2 linked regions of the Coturnix japonica genome follow. The protein of the gene in region 1 binds, or shares a complex with, the protein of each later gene. Links are inferred from orthologs where the notes say so. Each region holds a gene or a part of one and is shown on either strand. Other genes may lie near its edges.

What was found.
Region 2: the proteins of ERCC6L (region 1) and BEND3 are in contact, whole or in part, in a crystal structure (PDB 5JNO), measured with the Homo sapiens proteins. The link is inferred for Coturnix japonica from reciprocal best matches to the Homo sapiens genes ERCC6L and BEND3. Residues at the interface, in NP_060139.2 of Homo sapiens: Ala10, Glu11, Ala12, Leu13, Ser14, Pro15, Glu16, Ala18, Ala19, Tyr21, Leu22, Arg23, Lys26, Phe51, Pro52, Asn53, Glu54, Lys55; in NP_001073919.1 of Homo sapiens: Glu252, Gln255, Ile256, Gln259, Leu261, Asp265, Arg269, Val272, Gln273, Pro276, Phe279, Ser280, Phe335, Arg338, Phe339, Gln342, Glu346.

Annotation. Positions count from the first base shown.
Region 1 is NC_029519.1:1,618,856-1,631,206, forward strand, and holds ERCC6L (DNA excision repair protein ERCC-6-like), read left to right. Parts: upstream 1-6,371; 5' UTR 6,372-6,372; coding exon of another isoform or gene 6,373-6,423; coding exon 6,424-6,461; intron 6,462-6,684; coding exon 6,685-10,486; 3' UTR 10,487-10,948; downstream 10,949-12,351. UniProt on the Homo sapiens protein: DNA helicase that acts as a tension sensor that associates with catenated DNA which is stretched under tension until it is resolved during anaphase. Functions as ATP-dependent DNA translocase. Can promote Holliday junction branch migration (in vitro).
Region 2 is NC_029518.1:61,806,306-61,818,149, forward strand, and holds the end of BEND3 (BEN domain-containing protein 3), read left to right. Parts: intron 1-2,243; coding exon 2,244-4,496; 3' UTR 4,497-7,112; downstream 7,113-11,844. Other genes in the region: MTRES1 (mitochondrial transcription rescue factor 1), read right to left, coding at 11,265-11,441. UniProt on the Homo sapiens protein: Transcriptional repressor which associates with the NoRC (nucleolar remodeling complex) complex and plays a key role in repressing rDNA transcription.

The sequences.
Region 1 (12,351 bases):
AGAACAGGATCAGACTGTGCCATTTCTTGCATGGGTACACAGAAGCAATAGACTGGCCTCGGTGACTCACCATCTTTCCGATGATTCCGGTGCCCACAGACTCTGTCACGACCTCTCTGATGTTACTCAGCTGATCCTTCCTAGCAAACACGAGCAGCATCATCCCAACTAGACGGACCATTTGCACCTGCAAAAATAAAAGCAAATCTGAGTTTCCAGAAGGGCAGTGGTAACACACATCCCATCTGCCTGCTCTGCCTCACTTCTCTGTCCCTCTCAGTTCCTCATTATGTTTTGTACTCAACCCATGCTTGCAACAGAGCCCAAAGGATACTCCTGTCCTACAGTTAGCTTCTGGAAGACAATCCGTCATCTCCCAACAGCCATCAGCAGCGCTGAGCTCACCACGTTTCCCACTGTGGTGTTTCCCTACAAACACTGTTGCAGGGTAACAGAAACTTCACAAACGCACAGCAGTTTTGTCTCTAATGCAAGGAGTCTCCTTCTGGAGCCAAGAAGTTCTCAGCTGAGGGATAAGCTCACAGGAGCTAACACAGTACTGGTGTGCACTCCCAGCAGGGACTACAGGTCTGCTGATGACTCTCTGGTACATTAAGGCCAGGATACTTTGTGGCCCACAGTCTCCCTGTGCTGTCTAAATAAGCCTTGGGTCATCACCTTGAAAACCAGTGCTGAGCATGGCCTGCACACTCACCTGAGAGGCACTAAGATGTGCTGGGATTAAGCCTATATAGCGAAGGAAGAAGCTGAAACCACAGAAATAAATGGGAAGAGCCAGAGAACTCAGCACACTCTGCAGGAGTGACATTCACATGCAACCACAAAGGCTTATCTATGGTTTCAGCCACTGCTCTCTGCCTGCAGACATACCCTCCCCCTTTTGCAAGGGTGGAAGAAGTTTGCCTAAAAGCTCATGTAACACAAAGGCAAAGGAACATCAGCCTCTTTGCAGTTCCCATTGTGATCCCTAATTCCTTCACCATGAGCTTCAGTTCAGTGAGATATTCCCTTTTCCTGCTGTCACCTGTAACCCACGGCTCTGAGCTCAACACAGAACAAGCAGCACAGGGGTGTGACAGCGAACACACAGGTCAACAAGGAAAGGGAAAGCAGCTCATGCAAAACAGTCAGAGATGAAATACAATGGTTTGTTTCAAAGCAATCAGAGCAAAGAGCAGGTGCCACAACTGAACCAATTCTGCCTCAAGGTAGCAGCCTCCAGAGCATTTCTCCTCACAGATTATTCCATTCCTTCAGGGAGAAACTATTCATTTCATTCCCCAGCTCAAGACACACCTTGTTTCTATACAATGGTGGGAGAGTAACACAAAGAAATAACTTGAACCTGCTGCTACGGTTTTATTAAGCATACTAATTCCTTGAAATCTACCTCTTATTTTATACCTATTTTCATCCTCTATCTTTACTAATTTCTGCTTCTAAATACAGCATTCCCCTACAACAACAGGACAAGCAGACTTTCCAGACGCAGCTCAGCATATCTGACACACAGACAGGTAGACACACGCCAAGCACACATCCTTCATTCCTCCAATCTGCTTTTTGGGTCAGGTGATGAAATGGGAAACCCATTTCTATGCTCTTTCCAGTAATTCCAACCCTCTGACAGCCCCCCATACCACCCAACAGAACTCACTTTCTTATACTTAGCCTGAGGGTGCAGGGACCTCTCCACAGCAGCCAGCCATTCCTGCTCCTTTGCAGAATCAAAGTAGAAAAAAGCCTCCGTGCTGAGGTCCAGCTCCTGGAATCTAAAACCAAGCCAACTTAGCAGAAGTGCAGTGTACCACAGATCATTCTCTACACGAAGGTCCAACGTGAAACCTTCATGAATCTCTCTTGGTAGAAAAACCTCATTCTCTGTTCCTAAAGCATCAGCGCCTCTGAGACCCTACTGCAACAAATACAGGAAACTCCTCTCTGCAAGAAGCATGACTTCTGATTGAGGACAGTCAGAGAGCTCTGGGGACACCCCAAGTAAAATCTCTTTTGCTACATGACAGTAACCTCTTGTTTAACTTGACACCCTGCCTCAACCAAATGGCAGTTCTCCTTTAGAAAACTCAGCTTTGTGGAACCTCTGAGAACACAACAGAAGCTTCAGATAAACACAACACACCAGTACCAAGTAGGAAACCTGGCACTGTAAGTAAATACAAGGTAATTGCTCCTCACCCAATGCAGTAGAAGTCGGGAGGCTCTGTGTCACATACCAGCCAGGGTTCCAAGCCACTGTCTGGAGACTGCCCGTTCACATTCCATGTTCCCACAAAAAATCTACAATACAAAAGCAGCTGAACTGTAAGAAAACACAATAACCAGTGCACGAGCCCAGTATTTCCAGTGCACACAAAACAGTATCCAGGCTGGGAGAACACATGAGTAATCCGTGCACAGGGTAATGCCAACTATGGGGTAACTGAAAATATTCCTAGGCTTGGCTCATCTCCAGTGACACCAAATTTGCAGAAAGCTACAAAAACAAAATACATTTCAATGGGGCCAGCAAACATCTGGCTCTGTTAAAATCGTGTTGTGTGGGATGATGCTAAGGCTGTGCAGTGAGACAGCTCCCTTTTTTCTCCTTCTGCCAACTGCTTCAGTCTTACTAGAAGGTCCCGAGATCTGACACTCACAAAGGGAATGACGCAAAAGGAGAAGCTGTATTGCAGACATTTCTTTTCTTTTCAGACTGCACAAATCCCTGTTCAGGCACCCAAGCCAAGTGGGGATAGGACTAGGGGTAATGGGATGAAAGTACAGCATAGGAAGTTCTGCACGAATGTGCGGAAGAACTTCTTTACAGTGAGGGTGATGGAGCACTGGAACAGGCTGCCCAGGGAGGTGGTGGAGTCTCCTTCTCTGGAGATATTCAAGACCCGCCTGGACGCCGACCTGTGTGACATGGTGTAGGGAGCCTGCTTTGGCAGGGGGGTTGGACTCAATGATCTCTAGAGGTCCCTTCCAACCCCTACAATTCTGTGATTCTGTGATTCTGTGTGATTCTGTGATTCTGTGAAGCTGGCAATGCATCCACAGTTGTCAGATCTCAAACCCGGGCTGGATTTGAGCTCACAGAAGAGATTACAAAGTCTTGTCACCCTCTCTGCACAGTGCTGTCTAGTCACAGCTCTAACCTGAAGTTCTCAAGGTTGACGTATTCCTTCTCTCTCTTTGCAAGCACGTGTTTGATGAGGCCTTCTCTTTGTCCTGAATGGGTGTTGGGTAAAAACATTTTGCGCATGGTGTTGGTTACTTTTGGCTGGTCTCTTGATGTACCTTCTCTCTCTCGTTGAAACCTCAAAAGGAAGCAAGAGCAGAATTAAAACTGGTTCTGCTGTCGAGGAAGAGAAGGGAAAAAGGGAAGAGATTCACCATGCTACTTACTGCCTACTTGGAGGCACAGGAGGAGGTGGGGGTTCCCGGCGAGAGCCTGCTTGGTGGTTTTGCATGTTTCTTTTCTTCTCTAGGCTTAGAGCATTGAAGTCATCCTCAAACCCCAGAGCTCCTATAAAGAAAAAGCCAAGCACGATACCATGAAAAACAATTTAATACAGCTCAGAACAGAAAAAGGAAGGAATGTAGCTCCACGGGAAGCTAAAGAACAAATGATAACAGCAATACACCAGCTCTGATAATGCAGAAAATGAGTGACAGGGTCAAGGCAAAACAGAACTTTAACACATGCAAGCCAAGGCACTGAGAGGAGACAGCACTCAAGAAGGAATGAACAGACCAGGGCAACAGAATCAGAGGACAAAGATGCTTTGTTTTGCATGGGATACAGTGAAGTAAGGAAATGGTACAGTAGGCAGAGTGCCAAATGCAGCATCAGTCACAGCACCCTGCCACCAAGGGCCCAGTCATACACACATCACAGAGTATGCAAGGGTGACAGCCACTTCAGCACTTGGAGAAGAGGCCTGCAATAGACCTGGGAGGTTCTTCTCCATCTGATGCCAGCTGGCTGAGTCCTTATGTTCAGGCAGAGAATCTTTTAACTGAGCTGGAAAGCCCTATCAGATACTGCTGGTGGCCTGAGGATTTCAGGAATACAGCGATAACTCTGCTTACCTTCCTGTATGCTCTGCACTTCCGAGAGGAACCCCAAGCAATGCTCCTCATCAGGGATTTCAAAGAGCCTCTCAGCTGTCTTGTCACCTTGTATCCGGATCTTGCAGCCTGCTTCAGGCATAAACACAAACTCACAGTCAGGTCTGCTTGACAGATGTTATGCCCTCAGAGCCAATAGAATTACTCCATATTCTCTGAGCTCTTCAATGGAAGGTAACATTCAGATACTGTTTCTGATGGCAATTTGCACCTTACCAAGTTTTGCAGCACTTCAGAGCTTATCCCACCTGCAATACCACCAGTTACGTTTTCCTGTTTTTAGGAAAACTTTTCCTCACTGCTATCTCACAAAGAAGAGCTCTAAAAGTACTAAGAAGGCACTGAAAGGGAAAGCAGAATGAGTGAGTAGAGAGAGCTGCCACATGCACACCATTAAAGGCAGATAGCAACTGGGGCTCAAGATCAGGTCAAAGAAATGGAAGGGAGATGAGAATGGTTCTAAAGCCAATTCAGGGCTTCGAGACGAGATTTAAGAAGTTAAAGTTTAACCAACTGCCAATACTTTTATTTGGGCAGTTAAGACCGTGTCGTGACAAGTGGATGCCTATAAAAGCCAGAAAAGACTTGAGGACATACAACCCCTTCCTGGTCCAAGGACACAGTGTATGGAGGCAGGTAAAAGAAGCACTCATTAGTGCCCAAAACAGGGCACAGTTTCCTGAAAGGAGCTTAACACACGTTATAAAACTTACTGTTTGTAGCTATATCAATCAGCAGAGTTTCTTCTGCCTCTGGAAGAGAAGAGGAAAAAGCACTGAGACTTCACCTTGAATACTGTGGGTAGCGCATACTCAAAAAAGCACATTGCTTGCTTCTAGCCACAGAAGTCCTAGGAAAGGAAGAAACACCTCTGCTACTAATAACAGCTACAGCAGAAAGAATGGCACATCTGGACAGCTCGGACCATCACAGGGGGGACTGCTGATATTCAGAGCTCTTACAGATCTGGACAGTCATAGCGCCTTTGTGAAACACCAGTCTGGCAATGAACTTGAAAGCTTCTCTTACACAGCAAAATGATGGCCAGAACTACACCGAGTTATACGAAAGGTTATAAACTAAGCCAGGAGAAGATGCTGAACAAGCATTTCCCCCAGGGGCAATGTTCTTCCTAGACAACACCTTGAGTTATTTCCCACTCCACGTGCAGCTGTTTGGACCTGGCAGTTTATGGAGGTTTTGAACGAAACACCCAGGAATCAGCTCCCAGCTGCTGCCAGCACAGAAAAGCATGCAGAGCCTGGCAGGCAGTGAGGTGAACACACTGCTGAGAGCTGCTGAGTTCTGTGCGACCTGAACCCATCGGGTCCTTGCAGGTGTGCTGAGACAGGGCAGCCCTGCTCAGGTGTGGAAGGCACAGGAGCCCATAAGCCACAAGTTTTACTTCCAGGGGAAGCATGAAGTCTACACAGATCCTGAGGTCAAGAGAAACCACGAGATTCCGTTTTCGCCAAAGAACGGCAGTGGATTTGGCTGCCACAAAGAGCCCGCTGCGGGAGTCCGTACCTTGCACGCACTTAAAGCGGCTGTTGATGGGAATGTAATCCGGCTCTGAGTTTTCTCTCTCCTGCGAGTGGATAACTATCCTGCAGACAGAGCGAAGCCGTATAAAACACCGGACCAGCCCTGTCCCCGCAAGCACACGGCTGTTAGCGCAGCTATAAAGGCTGTTAGCACACTGTAAAGGCTGTCAGCACAGCTATAAAGGCTGCCGGGAGCAGCACACCCACCGCCCGAGGGACGCCGTCCTGCCCCGTCAGCGCACCCCACAGTACAGCCACCTCAGGCCCGGCCCGGCACTCCGCACTCACCCGTAGCGGCCGCCCCGCCGGGCCAAGCTCAGCACGCACGGCTCCCTCCGCCCCGCCCGCAGCTCAGCGCCGAGCAGACCCTGCGCCGCCGCCTTGTCCCCCCGCCGGCCCTGCCCCCCGCCCGGCCGGCTCCTCCCCGCCGGCCCCGGGCGGCTCCCGGTGCGTTCGGCGAGGCCCCAGGCCGCGGCGGGCGGCTCCATGGCGGCGGCGCCTCCGTCTCCCGGCGACCCCGCACCGCCCCTCATGCGGAGCGCGGAGCTCCGAGTCACAGCGCCCCCTGGCGGCGGGAGGACCGCTCAGCGCCGATTCACAGCGCTTTCCGCCCGCGGCCCCGCCCCCCGGCGCTGATTGGCTGAGCGCCGCTGTCGTCTGCAAGGCCGCGGGACAGGGCGGGAAGGGCCGGGTTTGAAACGCAGGGCGGCAGCGGAACGGCGTCATGGCTGAGCTGAGCCCCGAGGAGCAGCGGTACCGGCGGTGAGAGGCCGGGGGGGGCTGCGGGGTCTGCGGAACGAGGGCGGTGGGGATTGAGGGGGTTAGTGGGGCGGGGGATGAGGAACTGGAAGTTATAGCGGTGTGGGGGCCTGTGGGGCCTAAGGGCTATAGGGATCTTGGGGGCCTGCAGGGCTTTGTGGGGGTCGTGAGGAGGAGGAGGGTCGGGACTGGGGGCTCGGTCCCGGTGCTAACGGAGGTGCTGCAGGCTGGTGATCGACGCCAAGGAGGCTGCAGGCAGCGGGGACCTGGAGCAGGCCCTGCGGCTGTTCCGGCAGGCGGTCGCCATCCATCCCAGTGAGAAGCTGAGGGGCCGCATTCAGCGACTGGAGGCAGCGCTGGCAGAGCTGGCGGCGGCGGAGGAGGAGGAAGGGGATGAAGGCAACTTTGTGGACGTGTGCGGCAGCGGCCTGCTGCTCTACAGGGAGATGCACGAGAAGCTCTTCCAGCACCAGCGGGAGGGAGTTGCCTTCCTGTACCGCCTGCACCAGGAGGGCCGACCTGGAGGGATCCTGGCTGATGAGATGGGCCTGGGGAAGACCATCCAGATCATCGCCTTCCTCTCAGGCATGTTTGACAGCGAGCTCATCCGGCACGTCCTGCTCATCATGCCCACCACCCTGGTCAGCAGCTGGCTGGCTGAGTTTGCTCGCTGGACCCCTGGTTTGCGTGTCAAAGAGTTCCATGGCACAAGCAAGACAGAGCGCACCAGGAACCTGGAGAAGATCCAGAGGAAGAACGGCATTGTTGTCACAAGCTACCAGATGCTCATTAACAACTGGAAGCAACTTGCCAGCTGCCACGGGCAGGACTTTGTTTGGGACTACATCATCCTTGACGAAGCACACAAAATCAAGTGCCCATCCAACAAAACAACCAAGTGTGTATACGCAATTCCTGCGAAGCATCGCCTCCTCCTCACAGGCACGCCACTGCAAAACAACCTGCAGGAAATGTGGTCCTTGTTTGACTTTGCATGCCAGGGTTCTCTCTTAGGAACAGCCAGAACATTTAGAATGGAGTACGAGAATCCCATTACTAGGGCCAGGGAGAAGGATGCAACTGTAGGTGAGAAAGCACTGGGACTTAAGATATCTGAGAACCTAATGACAATTATAAAGCCATATTTCCTCAGAAGGACTAAAGGTGATATAAAAAGAAATAATGCTGAGAAATCAGACACTCTTCTTCCTGAGGATCCACGTGAGCCTAGCGCTCCTGTCATGCCATCTCTCACTAGGAAAAATGACTTTGTTGTGTGGGTGTACTTGGCACCAGTGCAGGAAAAAATCTACAGGAACTTTCTCTGTCTAGATCATGTGAAAGAACTGCTGATGACAACCCGATCACCTCTGGCTGAGCTGACTGTCTTGAAGAAGCTGTGTGACCACCCCAGGCTTCTGACTGCAAGAGCGTGTACCCAGCTGGACTTAGATGGACAGGAGTATTTGGAGCAGGATCACGAGAGTCAAACAGCTGTACTTTCAGGTGCCAATAAAATAGACCATCTGTCTGATGAGACCCTGATCCAGGAGTCTGGGAAAATGCAGTTTCTTTTAGGACTCTTAGAGAGGCTCCGGGAAGAGGGACACCGAACACTGGTGTTCTCACAGTCAAGAAAGATGCTGGATATCATCGAGCGGGTTTTGTCTAGCAGACGATTTAAGATCATGCGTGTTGATGGAACGGTGACCCACCTCACAGAACGGGAGAAGCGCATTAATGCCTTTCAGAGTAACAAAGACTATTCTGTCTTTCTGCTAACGACACAGGTTGGTGGTGTTGGTATAACCTTAACAGCAGCCAACCGAGTGGTGATCTTTGATCCCAGTTGGAATCCAGCTACAGATGCTCAGGCTGTAGATAGAGCTTATAGGATTGGGCAGAAAGAGAATGTGGTGATTTACAGGCTGATTACCTGTGGGACAGTAGAAGAGAAAATATATAGGCGGCAAGTATTTAAGGATTCATTAATAAGACAGACTACTGGTGACAAAAAGAACCCGTTTAGGTATTTCTCCAAACAGGAACTAAGGGAGCTTTTCACATTAGAAGATACACGAACATCCACAACTCAGATCCAGCTGCAGTCTTTGCATGCCACCCAGAGACAGACTGATGTGCAGCTGGATGAGCACATTGCTTATTTGCACTCTCTGGAAATGTTTGGCATATCTGATCACGATTTAATATTTACAAGAGAAGTGACCCATGAGGAACAGGCTGAGAGTGAGGAAGCCCATCAGTACATCCAACAGAGGGTACAGAAGGCCCATGAGCTGGTTCAGTTAGAGTCTCAGCTCAGAGATGTGAGGATGGAAGGGATTCGAAATGCTGCTGAGGAGACATTGGTGAGACCAGCAGAACTGGCTTCACAGACAAAGAAGAGGTCTCCGGGGTTGAATAATATAAATAACTCTGTTTCACCACCAGCAGCTGATAAACGTGAAAATGACAAAGTTATTGATCTTACAGAGGACATGGAGGTCCAGGTTCTCGATGTCAGCTCTAAGATGACAAATCTGACTATTGAGTTAGGTGAAGAGAAACTGGCACAAGAGACATCGGGTATGGATATAGAGCTGCTTACTAGTGGCAAGAAAGCGCAACAGCCCAATATACAAGATTCTGAACAAAATCTGGACTCAGACACTACACCATTATCACCTGGAATTGGTCCACTTGATAAAGAGACTCAACAGAAACAACATTCTCTTCATCATATAAATTCACATGGCTTGACTGAGGCTGGGAATGGCCTGTCTGGGCCTTCTCAGCATTCCTCTAATGAATCTGTTATGACTGATGATTCCAAAAGGTTACAAGACACAGAAATAGCAGATCAGGTACTTGATTCATTTGCTGTCTCAGAGACAGAAAAGAAAGATGTTTCTGAGCTAGCTTTGTGTGCCCTACCACCAAATTTATCAGATGTTTTACCAAAAGTCCATGCTGAGGTCCAGGAGTCTCATGTGCAAGAAATCAGCTCGGAGGATACATCTATGCCTTTTCCCCAGGATCAAATTGACTTCAATCTGGTTCTGGAAGAGTCTGAAGGTGGATTGCAGGATGCCTCAAATGGGGAAAGATCAACGGAGCACCCAGAAGATGAAGAGTTCCAGCTAAAAGCAGAAAGCCTGCATAAATCATCAGCAAAAACTTGCTTAAGTGAGAAAAGTAACTCTGGGAACACATACAACACAGCTGAAGAAGATCCAAATAACTCTTTGCAAGGGAGTGAAGCATCAGGGGAAGACAGCGCTGTCCTTGTTTCAGCTAGAAAGAAGCACATGAGAAGAATTGTTTCGGACAGTGAAGATGAGGACCATTCTGTTATAAACCTGGAGGAAGAACGGTTTGATGAAAGGTCCTTTCCTCTGAACAGCCCTCAGCGTGAAGTTATAGGAGGAATTGAAACATCTACTCCTAAGAATGAAAGAAGTATAGCAAAAGCCATCTTTTCTCCCAAATTAACTAACAGCAGTAACAGGTCTACAGCTTCCAGGAGATCTCTCATCAACAAGGTGGTGGATGAGGTTGAGGATATTAGTGAAATCATGGGAACCACAGGTGAAGAAGAAAACAGCGATGAGGAGCAAGAAGGCTTTGCAGAAGAAGAAGCAGAAGAGTGTAGTGGGGAGTCTGTCAAGCCTGAAGAAGAACCTGCTGGAGAAACACTGAATTCAACTGGAGAGTCCTTCCATATAGAGGGTCTGCAGTCTGAAGGAGATGAGACAGAGTCTTCTCAGGAGGAATCCACTGGTGATGCTGAGCTTCAGTCAGATGAACAGGTGGAGTACTGCACCCAGGAAAGCGTCTCTACTGGTCAGAGTTCCTCTCCTCGCTCAGGTACTTACAATGCTTTGGTGGACAGAGGGAAGAATCTGAAGGAAAATGGAAAACTACAAGAGGCACTGAACTGTTTCCTGCAAGCTCTTGATATAAAAAGTGGAGATCCCGAAATCATGCTTATGACCTTAAACTTGTACAGACAGATGGCTCAGAAATGAAATGTAAACCTTTGAACAGTCTAATGAAACATGCCTACCTTTGTTAAGTAGTTTAACTTTTTTCACAAAATATTTGTTTAAACTATACTGATGTTAAACTATACTGATCTTATAAACTTAAGACTGGCTGCAATATGTATTTCTTTCATGTTATGAAACTTTCAGTCATGCTTAGTGAACAAATCCAGCAACTCCTCCTGTTGTCACATTTTTTGGTGCTGGGAAAGGAATTTCACTGTGGACTCATTTCATTAAGAAGTTCACGTTCCTGTTCATGTAATTAAAATACCTATCTTTGTACTCAAACGCAACTCTGGATTTGTGTTTCTGGCCTTCAGTTTCTCATCTAGCAGGAGAGACTCTCACAAAGCTGAAGGTGTGGTTAGCTTGCTGCAGTCTAAATTCCAACTGCTGCAGTCCCTCTCCTTCTCAATGTAAATAAAGTCCATTTGCCTACCTGAACCATGCCCTGCTATTTAAGCACACCAAGTGCTTGGTACAAAGCTGAGAACAGAACTGCCCCAACCTGGATTTAAGCTGGTCTGAGAATGAACATCCTGGGGTGGAGGGAGACGGCATGCTGGCCTCCATTGCTCGGAGGATTTATAGCAGCAAACATCTGCCTGGCATCAGGACTAGTACTGAAACAGTACCACAGAAAACCTCTTTACAAGGTACAATAGGCACAATGAATCTGAGTTTAAAGTCACAAGAACCTCACTCCAGCTTTCAGCAATGTCTTGTTCATCTGACTTCCCCCTCTGCCACCATGGTGAGTTAAATTTGGCCTAGGCATGAGAATTTGAGTTCTTTCTACTAGATGACATGCCAAATACAAACAGCGGTCCTGTTGGTACAGGAGATGTACCAATGTGCTTTTGCTAATAGGTGTAAAACAAAGCCCTGGTAGCCTGGAAACAAGTAGTTTATTAATAAAGCATCACTTAAATGGGTCCGCATCTGCTCATGCTGTAAAAAGGCCTGTCTGCCTTATATAACAAAATATTAACGAGCTTTGAAAATGCTGGTTGGCATGTACAAACCTTCTGTTCTCTCAACATAATGAAACAAATGTCCCCAAAAGCAGGGTGGGAGAAAGACCTGACCTGATTTCAGCCTTACCTCTTCACTGTGTCTGATGGTGGGAAGACCTTTTGTTCTATTTGATGTTTTGCCCTCATCCCTAAGCCTGCAGACATACTGGCATGCTTACCTGCAGCAAAGACGGCACCAGTTTAAGTCATCTTTCAGCAGACAGAAGATGAATGCAGTGGGATATTTATTACTGAGATGCCAGAGGTAGGGACATACAGGGCCATCTCATTCATATCAGTCACACTGTCACTTATCCCATTTTACCAGAAGGACAAAGTGCACCTTACTAGGCTTTAGGCACATACTTCATACCTCCAAGTCTTGGTAAAGACTGCTGACTGAAAGAACATGGAGCCTGCCCAGAGCAGTGACCCTGAGCTGCAGTAGTAGCATTAGATTGGCATCTAACAATGGGAGGCTCTTCCATGTTAAGTCTGAACTCTGGAGCTGAACCTGTAGCATCTGAGCTGCCTGCATCCTTGCTGGTGAGGATAAAAGCAAATGCTCTAGGCAATCCCTTACCCTTTCCAGGTTGGCTATATTTGCAGCCTGAGTTTTCACAGCTGTACATCATCATCTCTCTAGCTGGAAAACCAAGGGGCTGGCCTACAAACTGATGCAGATTTCAACAACTACACACAACTTTTACTTTACCTTTTTCAGGGAATGCTTACTTTACCTTTTTCAGGAAACCTCTCTGTGCAGGGGGCCCTGTTCTCTGCTGGCTGTGATCTGCATGTCCTGCAGGAGTGGCTGGCTGTCTCCAAGCA
Region 2 (11,844 bases), on another chromosome or scaffold:
GCCGAAGAAAGAACATGGTCCTAAAGGTGCGTCACGTAGATGCCCACGTGCCCAAGAGTCGAGCAACAGAGGAGCAACAAAATAACCACCAGGTAGATCGAGCTGCCAGAATTGAGGTGGCTGAGATAGACCTGGATTGGCAGAATAAGGGAGAGTTATTCCTAGCTCGGTGGGCCCATGAGACCTCAGGCCATCAAGGCAGAGATGGAACACATAAGTGGGCTAGAGACCGAGGGGTGGACATAACTATGGACGCTATTGCGCAGATCATCCATGATTGTGACACCTGTGCCATGATCAAACAGGCCAAGAGGATGAGACCTCTCTGGGGGGAAGGGCGATGGGAAAAGTATAAATATGGGGAGGCATGGCAGATTGATTATATCACCCTGCCAAAGACTCGTAATGGTAAGCATTATGTACTCACCATGGTGGAGGTAACCACCGGGTGGCTTGAGACATATGCGGTACCCCATGCCACTGCCAGAAACACCATATTAGGCCTAGAGACACAAATCCTGTGGCGACATGGCACCCCAGAGAGGATCGAATCAGACAATGGGACTCATTTCAAAAATTCACTGGTGAGCACTTGGGCCAAAGAACATGGCATCGAGTGGATCTATCACATCCCCTATCACGCACCAGCCGCTGGTAAGATCGAGCGCCACAACGGTTTGCTGAAAACCACGCTGAAAGCAATGGGTGGTGGAACATTTAAGAACTGGGAGAAACATCTAGCAGAAGCCACCTGGCTGGTAAACACCCGAGGATCAGCCAACCGAGACGGCCCTACACAGTCCAACTCCCTGCGTACCGTGGAGGGAGACAAGGTTCCTGTGTGCATGTAAAGAATATGCTGGGAAAAGCGGTTTGGGTCCTTCCAGCCTCTGGAAAGGGGAGGCCCCTCCGTGGAACTGTCTTTGCACAGGGACCTGGGTGCACCTGGTGGGTGATGCAGAAGGATGGGGATGTTCAGTGTGTGCCACAGGGAAATTTGATGCTGGGGGAGTGCAGCCTGTGATTCCATGTGTGTATATATATATATATATATCTGTATGTACATATGTAATGCATGTTAACTACTGTTCTGTTTATATGTTGATAAAAGTTAGGCATGATGTGATGATGTGTAATAAGGGGTGGAATGTTATGGTTTTGCAATTTGGTTGGTGTTGGTATTCCACATCAGAACACCATGCTAATAATGGGAGTAAAGGGGACAAGTTTTTTTTTCTGTGAACTGCCTTAATGAGCATGTGGGGTGGGGCACCGGAAGGGAAGTGAGGAAGGGGACGGCGTTGCTGGACCGGCTCCCTGCGAGGAGACAACGTGGTCAGACCTTCCTGCCTTCCACAGCTCCATCGGTGAGATTTGGGACTTGGTACTCTCTTTGTTGAAACTCTCTTGTTGTTGTTTAGTGTTATTAGGTTATTAAACTGCCATTCGTTCTCAGATCACCTTTCTCCTCCCTCATTTTTTTGTTAGACCTAATCGCAATCTCCCTTCCCTTCCCCCGTCTCCCTAAACGCACGTGGCCGGGCCGCGCCGGGCCGCGCCGCACTGCCCGCTAGAGAAAAGGGGGGGGGCTTTTGTTCCTGCTGCCCCGGGTTTGTGCCCACTGTCCCGGAGTGAGCTCTAGAGAGAACTCCGTGACATGTATCAACTTCTGACATCAGCAGAAAGAGAATAGTGACAGTTCGGGTCATAGCCTTCATGGTATTTTCAAAAGCTAACGTAAGGAGAGCACTAGCAATGCTAAATGCAGGTGGTGGGAGCAGTGGCAAGGTCACAGGACGAAGAGTCAGAAAATCTAGGTTCTATTCTTGGCTCTCCTGCTGACTTGTTGCCACCCGAGTTCTCTGCAGCTCGAGATCCTCACACATAAACATAATGATACTTAATTTGGGAGAGTATTTAGAACTCGGTGGGAGAAGAGTGCTAAATATTATAATTTAATTTCTAGCCTGTGGAGAAAGCCATGAGCCAAGACAATAATAATAATAGTAATAATAATAATAATAGTAATAATTTAAAAAAAAACAACATAAATAATACTTCACTGTATTTTTGTTGATTTATTTTATTAATGCATTTAATAATTTGATATATGTAATACAAATGAAACTTCTAGAGACAGTTTGGCCTCACACTCTTATGTAACAATGCCTGCTTAAGGGGAACACATCTATAACTACTATTTTTTAAGCAATCTTACTAATACAATATTTATTCATTCAAAGGGCTCCAATTCAAACATGAAGAACAGAGATACTGGCTCACCCACTCAGGTAAATGCAGAGCAGCCAAGCAAGAACAAGAATCCTAATATAACATGGCTCTGTGAGGAAGAACCCTTCAGTGACATAACCACTTCGTCTTACAAGAAACCCCTTTATGGCATCTCACACAAAATTACAGAGAAGAAGAATGCACCGGGAGCAGAGCAGTTTACCTCTTACGACTTGTATGAAAAAATCAGCCCCAGCAGTCCCTCGCATCTTCGGACTTTGAATGACCAGCGCAAAAGGGACTCTGCTGCAGCCCTTGCTGCAGCAGCTGTTGCTGTAGAGTCTGACCCAAATATATATTCTTTGATACAGAAAATGTTCTTCACGCTTAACACTCTCAGTTCCAATATGACCCAGCTTCACAATAAGGTTGACCTGCTGTCTCTGGAGGTGAGCAGAATTAAAAAGCAAGTCAGTCCAGTGGAGTGTGTGGCAGATTTCAAGCCTCCCCCTGAGTACACGCTGACTTCTGCTGAGCTCAAACAACTCATGGATCAAAGCACGTCAGGTGGAGACCTTGCCTGCCGGTTACTGGTACAGCTCTTCCCAGAGCTCTTCAGCGACGATGAGTTCAACAGGAACTGCAGCGCGTGTGGCTTTCCTAACAAGAGGAAGCTGGAGTCTCTCCATCTGCAGCTTATCCGTAGCTATGTGGAAGTCTGTTATCCTTCTGTGAAGAGTACAGCTGTGTGGCAGGTGGAGTGTTTGCCTCAACTCAACGATTTTTTCAATAGATTTTGGGCTCAAAGGGAGTTGGAAAATAACCCACAGAATGTGCAATCCTCCAGTTTTTATGAGACTGAACAGGTGGATTCCTCTCATTTTCTTGACGATAAAGAGCAAGAAGAAGCTTTGTCCTTGGACAGGAGTAATGCCATTGCCTCAGACTACATTCTAGATGCTCAGGATCTCAACGAATTTTTAGATGAAGCTTCTTCTCCGGGGGAGTTTTGTGTTTTTTTGTTACATAGACTGTTTCCAGAACTCTTTGACCACAGAAAATTAGCTGAAAGGTACAGTTGCTATGGGGACTCTGGGAAGCAATTGCTGGATCCTCATCGGCTTCAGATAATACGTAGGTACACTGAAATTTACTTCCCAGATGTACAGGAAGAGGAAGCTTGGTTGCAGCAATGCGTTCAGCGAATAAATGAAGAACTTGAAAATGTGTATATGGATGGAAGTGAATGTGATCAGTTGAGAGATGACTGTTACGACTCTTCTAGTTTACCAGATGACGTATCGATCATAAAAGTGGAAGACAGCTTTGAATATGAAAAACCAGGTAGACGCTCAAAAAAAATATGGCTTGTGCCCATTGACTTTGACAAACTTGACTTTCCCCCTCCTGATTTTGATGTCCCTGTTCCCGATTACCTATTGAACAAAGAACAGATCAAAAACATATACGAAAGCAGTCTTTCCATAGGCAACTTTGCCTCTCGGCTGCTTGTTCTCTTGTTTCCCGAGCTGTTTACTCATGAAAACTTACGGAAGCAATACAACTGTAGTGGGTCTTTGGGCAAGAAGCAGCTTGATCCCACTAGGATTAAATTAATTCGACATTACGTGCAGATACTGTACCCAAGGGCAAAGAATGACAGAGTATGGATGTTGGAGTTTGTTGGGAAGCTCGATGAGAGGTGTCGGCGAAGGGACACGGAGCAACGGCGCTCATACCAGCAGCAGCGGAAGGTCCACATGCCGGGGCCCGAGAGGAGGGAGTTCCTCAGCTATGCAATAAACCCCGAAAGGTTTCGAGAAGAGTTTGAAGGGCCACCATTGCCACCTGAAAGGAGCAGCAAGGATTTTTGCAAGATACCACTTGATGAACTCGTTATTCCTAACCCAGACTTCCCTGTGCCTTCTCCGTATTTGCTGACTGATAAGGAGGTAAGAGAGATCGTACAGCAGAGCCTTTCTGTTGGAAACTTTGCCGCCAGGCTTCTCGTAAGACTGTTCCCAGAACTCTTTACTCCTGAAAATCTCAGACTGCAATACAACCATTCAGGTGCTTGTAACAAAAAACAGCTGGATCCCATCAGACTGAGACTGATCCGCCATTACGTGGAAGCGGTTTACCCCGTGGAGAAAATGGAAGAAGTATGGCATTATGAATGTATACCGAGCATTGATGAAAGATGCCGGCGTCCTAACAGAAAAAAGTGTGACATACTGAAAAAAGCAAAGAAAGCAAAGAAGTGACAGGCTCTTTGAATTCCTAAGACTTTGACCACTAAATTATTGTCAGGATTATGCTTTGTTTCAGACTGAAGGGCCTGTCGGGCTGGGGCTGCTCAGCATCCGAGAGAACTAGGCACTAAGTTTGTTGCATTTTAACGTGTGTGTTGCATCTATGTGGGCACTGCAGCAGTGGGAAGTGGCTTACTAGGTTTGTACGTGGGTAAAGATCCTAAGTCATTGGTGACAGAGCTCTTGATGACTCATTAAGAGCATGGCTTTCACTGGCGCAAGTACCATGTACTGAAACTCTACTATGCCATTCCCCATTTCTGCATTTCTTCCTTTTTTAACACTTTTTAATAATAAAGATTTTTTTTTTTTTTTTAAATGCGGTGCTCGTCAGGGGCAGTATTTCATTTCACCCTTATACACAATCATGTTCGTTCATTTGGAGTTTGAAATTTAAACCTCATGGAAATCTACAAAACTAATGCTTCTTGAAAGTACCATTTTCATTGAAATCACAGCTTGAATGAGTTTTGTTCTCATTGATACTGGGATGCTGGAAATAGTAATACCACGTCCAAGAATGGGTCAGAGTGGTGTGGTTTCAATTTTTGACTGTTACTCAAGTTTTGTTTCTAAAAATTCTACGAATATGAACTATTGGAGAGTTGAGACGTGAGCATAGACAGCGTGAATGTCCCTTTCTGTTGGCACCCCAAGCTTAATCATGCCCCTGTGAGTTTTCTTTTTTGCCCAGTGTCACGGTTGGCATGACTGAGGGTGGCTTGTGAGAGTAGAGCCAGCAGCACAGACCCAAACCCGCACCTGTGGAATGTATTGCCACTGCCTGCGCCTGCCTGCTTGCCTCTCTGTAACACAACAATAACTAGATAAGCAACACGGACTTCAAAAACTTTTAGAACTTACTGTGTCAAAATGACAATTCCAAAGGTTTCCAGTATTAACATCAAATTGCATCAATAAAAGTTACCCGCAAAGATCAGTTTTGGGATGGAATGAAGTGCTATGAGGTTCCCATGAATGAGCTGTGGTAATGTAACTCACTCTGCATCATCAGAATGGCACCATCTGGATTTTTCAGATGTAGAGGGATATTGAGCTCGCTCACTTAGCCAAATTGATTTAGTGTAATTAGTAGCTATTTGGAGACATAATTGTGTATGTATAACTTAGATTCATATGGTCAAGTTTGCATCAATAATATGTTCATATGTAACATAGGCCACCTAGAACCCACTGTGACTCTGCTGTATGATTTGTCACTGGAGAGCACAGCTTTAAAACAGCTTTCTCCTTTTTTTTAATGGCGATGTGAATGATGTCAGAGAGTGTCAGATATGCATTTTTGAGTCAGTAGAGTCAGCGACTGCGTACTGACCATCGCTGGAACGCCTCGGAGCAATCGTTGATGTTCCCTGTGGTCCTTTTTAATTGTTCCTAAATGGCTCGTAGCGTATCAAATTTGAAATCTGTTCCAGTCTAATTTTCTATTTTAGCATTTGTAAGAAAATACAAAATACTCGATATTTTTACTTCGGATTTTTAGAATTTATTGTTCTTAGAGTCATATTGATCTCTCCCTTTAAAAAGCAAAAGAACGTTTGTTTTTTTCCTAATGGCAAGTACTAGCAAAAGGATAGTGTTTAAAGCCAGGAGTAAGCAGTAATAGATTTGCATTTGCTCATCTTCCCCACGTGCTAGCAACATCCTCAGAGAATGTATGAAGAAAGTCATGAATGTATTAAACGATACACTGAGACTGTTTGTGTCCATCTAAATGTTTTCCGCTGGTTTAAATAATAGCAGACCACACGCAAAATGGATATCGGAGCGAATGTGTCTAAAATAAAAAGAAAATGTTTTTACCAAAGATAAAGAACCGATACCGCAATGTCTGCATTATCTTTCATTTCAGTGCATAAATTTAGCAAGTTGAATGTGCCAGAAACAGACCTTCTCTTGTAATTGTATGCTACCAAGCGCCTCTGTGAAGTCTTCTACATGCACTTGTATGGGAGATATAAAACCACAGAAAATACCAACAACCTGTTGCAAATGCCCAACCAGATGGCAAGAAATGCAAAGTGTGGCTTTCCTTTATACTTTTTTTTTTTTTTTTTTTTTGATTTTGATGTCATAAATGTTATACCACTAAGTGATGTCAAAGCTCCCAAAGAAGTCGATGACGTTAAACTGTTGTAGCACTGGCGGGCGTTACTAGATAGCATGTGAATTTAGGACGTACTGGGTTTTACTGTAGATGTTGTCATTCTGTCCTGACACATCAAAGATCAGGCCGTTTATATTACATACTGATGAGTGAAAAAGCGATTTTCAGCTTTTAAAATGGCATTTTCAAAAGTGGGTACAGAAAGATCCTTGCTGGTTTTTCTCTTAACTTACATCTGATGGTTGTGTACATTCCTTTGTCTCACTGTTCCCAGCCTTTCATGGTTTGACTGTATGCTTTGTGAAGAAAAGAGTGACATACAAGTAGTGACATGGGGTCACTGGAAAAAAAAAGCTCCTGCAGTGCATCCGAAGTACAGCCACTTCATCCGGTTGGTCTGTCCTGTAAATAAATTAAAGGTATATTATTTTCATACAAGAGGAATGTTGTCTGGTGATTGCCTGAATACAGTGACACGAGCATATTCGTGTCCATTCCCTATAGAGGCTGTTTCTAAGAGCCAAGATAATCTCAGCAAGTCGGGCTGAAGACAGAAATGAAAACTCCCTGCTTTGCTGCAGCCGTTTTTTCTGCCTTTCAGATGGTTTTTGTTCAAAGGAGCAAACTTGGCCCCTTCAAAACAACAGGAAGATTGCTAGGTGTTAGCATATCTGGAACGTACGTAGCCATACACACACAGACTTCCTATAGACTGGCGTTGCCTTCTGCCTATCAGGTCAGCACAACCTGCTGAGGCGAGTATCGTGTCCCTATTGACATACAGCTTAAATATCTCACCTCTTAACAGCTTTCTGAAAGGAACGTTGATACACCTCAGCTCTCTATTTTTCTCTCTTTCCTAGCCTGCACAAATTAAAACCTTTTCTTAGAAGCTCTGTAGAAGATGTAAAACAATACATCAAAAGGGAGATCAAGCACACGTTTGTTTACTGCCCATTAACTGCATTCAACTGGCTAAGAAAACAAGGTTTCAGATGAGGAGGATCCTTATGCTTAGGAAGTCAACCACTCTGTTATCATTACAGCCCCCAAATGTTTCATGTTCTAAGAAATGTTCTCACCTGTTCTTTTTCCTGTCCTCAGGTTCATGTAGTACACTCTCTTATAGATACATTTTTTGAGCGTCATTCATCTCTTTGTGAATTGTTATTTATGTGCAGCAGTGGGAAACAGAACTGTATCCTCAACACTCTAAAAAGGGACACTAATTTTATGCTGGAAGGAGTGCTACTAATTCTACAGCCCCAGGAAATACAGAAAAGAACGTGCAGGCTTTGTTGGTTATTTAGCTTTTGTTTCAGAGATTAAAGGGTTGTGAAACAGCTGGAAAATGCAATGTCTGGGGCTTGCCTGTGCTGAGGTAACAGCAGTGGCTGACAGGTGTTCTCACAGTGTGCAGTTCTGTTGATTGCATTTAAAATCTGTGGTAGGGCAACGTGGCAGGTTCACATCTATGGTTTTCCTGAGTAAATAGAATTCTGCCATTGTCACTGACAAAGCTTCTTCACTTCCTCTGTGTGACTTCACGTGTTTTTTATGGTTGCTCTGGCCATTCAGATGGCACCGATGCAGGTATATTTCTTGTTGTTTTTAACCTTGTTCTGGGGAAAAAGAATGCACTTGGAGCTGTTTAAACGAGTTGCTGAAATGAGATGCTTTAGTGCCCTCTCTTAGGGTTGTCCTTGGTAAGGCTGAGAAAAAGAACAAAGTCCCCTTCCAGAAGTCTTTGTTCTTCCTTCCTAATTGTCCCAACAGAAATAATGAGAAATAGCTAATATTTGCAGTGCTTTTTAAGCCCTTGCTGTTACCCTCCCTGTTAAAGACATTGTTCATGTTAACCTCCCACCAATAGTGATGGTCTTAATTTCTTATGGGCTACACGGTGCTCATGGTCATCTCTGTGTAAGCACTGCTTTGAGAGGTGGTCTTCCACAGCAGAATGCTGGAGCAAACTCCAGATCAGCATCCCATCAGATCTGGGATACTTTCCTCGTACCTCATCTGATGAGCAGGGCGTGAGCCCCTGTGCTATATCATTTTCATCCAGCATATCCCGTTTTATTTTTGTCACCTTCTGAATGGCATTCCTACTGGTTAGTGATTGCACCATGAGAAGCCTGTTGGTGCAGGCAGGCTGCTGCTTGCCCTCTTTCCTGATTCACTTCATGATGTGGCTGCAGCCCCCTCTGAGCGTTTTTCTTTTCATTAATGGCAAGCTGAAAGGCCTTCGGTTCTTATGGGAAGAGCTGTAACAGAGATGAAATAAAGCTGTTCTGCAGAATGCCACATTTTCCCTGCCCCAGCCTTCCCCCTCACAAGAGAAATGTGAATATTAAAAAAAACAAACTTGAAGAGTAAACCATAATCAGTTAAAAAATGGGCAAAATCACCACATGTCCAATTGTACAAAGATTTGCATTAATAGACGTAAGCAAAACAAATGGTGATTGCCAAAGACTGGAGGAAGATCACCTCATTAATATCTCCCCCTACACACAAATGTCAGATAATCATTCCCCATTTCCTTCACAAATCTCATTATGGTCAATCAGCGGTTTGTCACCGTTAACAGGCGCGTTTTGTGGTGTCGTGCCTTGGTGCTGAAGCTTCCCTGGAAGGGAAAGCATTCCTCCCATCATGACACTTTCAGGAGCGGTAACTTCAGTTAGCTCCAAGGCGGTGCATTAGCATGGTCTGCAAAGGTTCCCTGTAAAAAGAAAATGCCCAGGTGCATGGGAGCAGCAGGAGTCACTCGATAGGATCACGTCCTATTCCTGAAACACAGAACATCCAGGAGTCTCTTTCTGTGGCAGATAATGCTGTCCTTTGTTCCTCTTGCATCTGCTCTCAAGAGTTCAGAAACCTGTGTGTTCTCCTTGGAGTGCTTGTCTATAGGTACACTGGATGCTCCAGTATTGGAGATGAATTTTAAGTTTCAGCGGTGCTGTTTGTGCTGCTCTCCCTACCATACACATGGACTCTGCACCCCTTTCCCCATGAGGGCTGTTGCAGACCAACCATCATGTTGAGTCCTGTATTTCACAGGAGCTGGTGGTTAACTGTTCTGATGTGCCATTGCAGGAGAAAGAAATACAATCCAGGAATGCTTCAGTGCTATTCTTGTCCCTGTGGAAAAAAATAATTGCCTGTTCTTTTGTGGAGCAAGTTGGAGGTGAGTGATTAAAATCCCTTTTTGTTGATCTGCAGACAATAGAACTGAGAGACTGATGCTTCTGCCAACTGCAGCCCAGTTCTGTGAGCATTTCCCTGCTGTCCTCCCATGGATGACCACAGATCCTGCTCTGCAAGGCAGGCTGGCCTCCATGCAGCACACACTGCAGTGTGGGAAGCATGCAAAGCTATCAGCTCATCCTGGTGCCATGCCGGTGCCACGGTTCTGTATGGGCAGTCTGACAGTGCCAGGCAGTGCCTTCTGAACTGGATCCGGCTGTTGCTTTATCAGTGTGTACCAGATATACCTGAGTCTGATACCTTACATTTGCTTTGTGAGCAACAACTTCTTGCCTGCCCGCTTAGATATCAGGAACATGCTAAGAAAAGCAGCCTGCTGTGCACTCCTGCTGCTTGATCTGGGCTGCCCTCCCCTCTGGGCTCTTCTCACTTGCTAAGGAGCAGACCGTGGGCTGAATGAATGCTCCCACCTGCACACACACACACTTGGATGCACAGATGTTATACACTTATAAAAATTCTGTCTGTGCCACAGCTCAGAGTTTGTTGTTTCTGTTGAAAGAAGTGTATGTTCAACATTACAAGCGTGGGTGATTACTCAAGACACCTGCTCCCAGGCAGCACTTCCCTGCAGTAATACAGGCGTGTACTTCTAATCACAGCGTTGTCTGATCTTTGGTCAGATCTCTACAGCCACTTAAGTGATAAATTCTCCTTTAAACACCACGCTGAAATCAGTATGCGGTAAAAAACAACATCTCATTTTCTTCTGTTACCCGTGTGCCTCCTACCTGAGCTGCCTTCTCCATGAGAGAAGAGGGGATCTCTGCCTTTAATCCTCGGTCATTGTGAAGTTTCCTACTTGTATTACATCAACATACATGAAAACACAGTTGGTATTGTTAACCAGGATCAAATCAGTAATTAAAAAAGGAAGCAATACGTATGTTACGTATTTACATGTACGTATATATAACATAAAAAAAACAAACTGCGTAACGAACCTGGAAATAAAGCTAAGAAAGCAGCGCTGCTTGTGGCGTCAGCTCTCATATAACCTGATTAACAGAAACCAGGCAGCAATTAAACAGTGATCAAATTCGTCTTTATTGAGTCATTATATATAACATCTGTAAGGAAACTGCCTGGAGATACGAGGGTAGAGTATTTTATCCCACAGTATCATGAAACAAAACTAACTGCAAGAAGTGACAGCCGTTTACCACAGGAGCATTGATGTACACAGCAGAGGGAGATATTTCTAACACGAGCCCTTAAAAAGGGTACTGTCATTTTGTTTAACCAAAATTCTTATTTAACAACAAACAACACGGTTTTCTGCAAAATAAAAATCTCATGCTGCCACGTGCAACCCCCTGCTACTTCAGTACGTCCTGTTTGGGCACCTTCAGGTTTTTCCAGCGCCTTAAAATTACTCTGTATTTTTCACTCTCAGTCTTGTCAGATACTTTTTTTAAGACTACCCGCATCACTACAGCAGTTCCTGTTTCTTTATCTTCACCTATTAAGAGATCCAGCGTGTCACCAATTTTCACCTGGAAATAGAAAGAGAAGACGAGCAATCGTAAGCAATGTCTGGAGAAAACAAAGTCCCACAGTCGGGGCCACATTAATATTGCTCCTTTCATGCCATTTGTTCCCCTGAATCATTCAGGGGAGGAGGTGGGAAGGCTACTCCAGACCCACTACAGATCCATTCTCCCACTGTGAACTTTTAGGAAAGCCCCGGCATTAAGCAACTAAATGTCTCCTCGTGACCTTCTCTGTCAGGAGTTTTGCCCTTACTGAATTACAGCCAACGCCTAACTCTGTGGAAAAGGTATCGTTCAGGTTTATTACCAAATAGGGCTTCCTGCCAATCTTCTTCTATCAACACATAAAAAGCAGCCAAATGCAAAGTTCTCCTTCCTTTCTTAGGAGCACCTTCAACTGAATAGT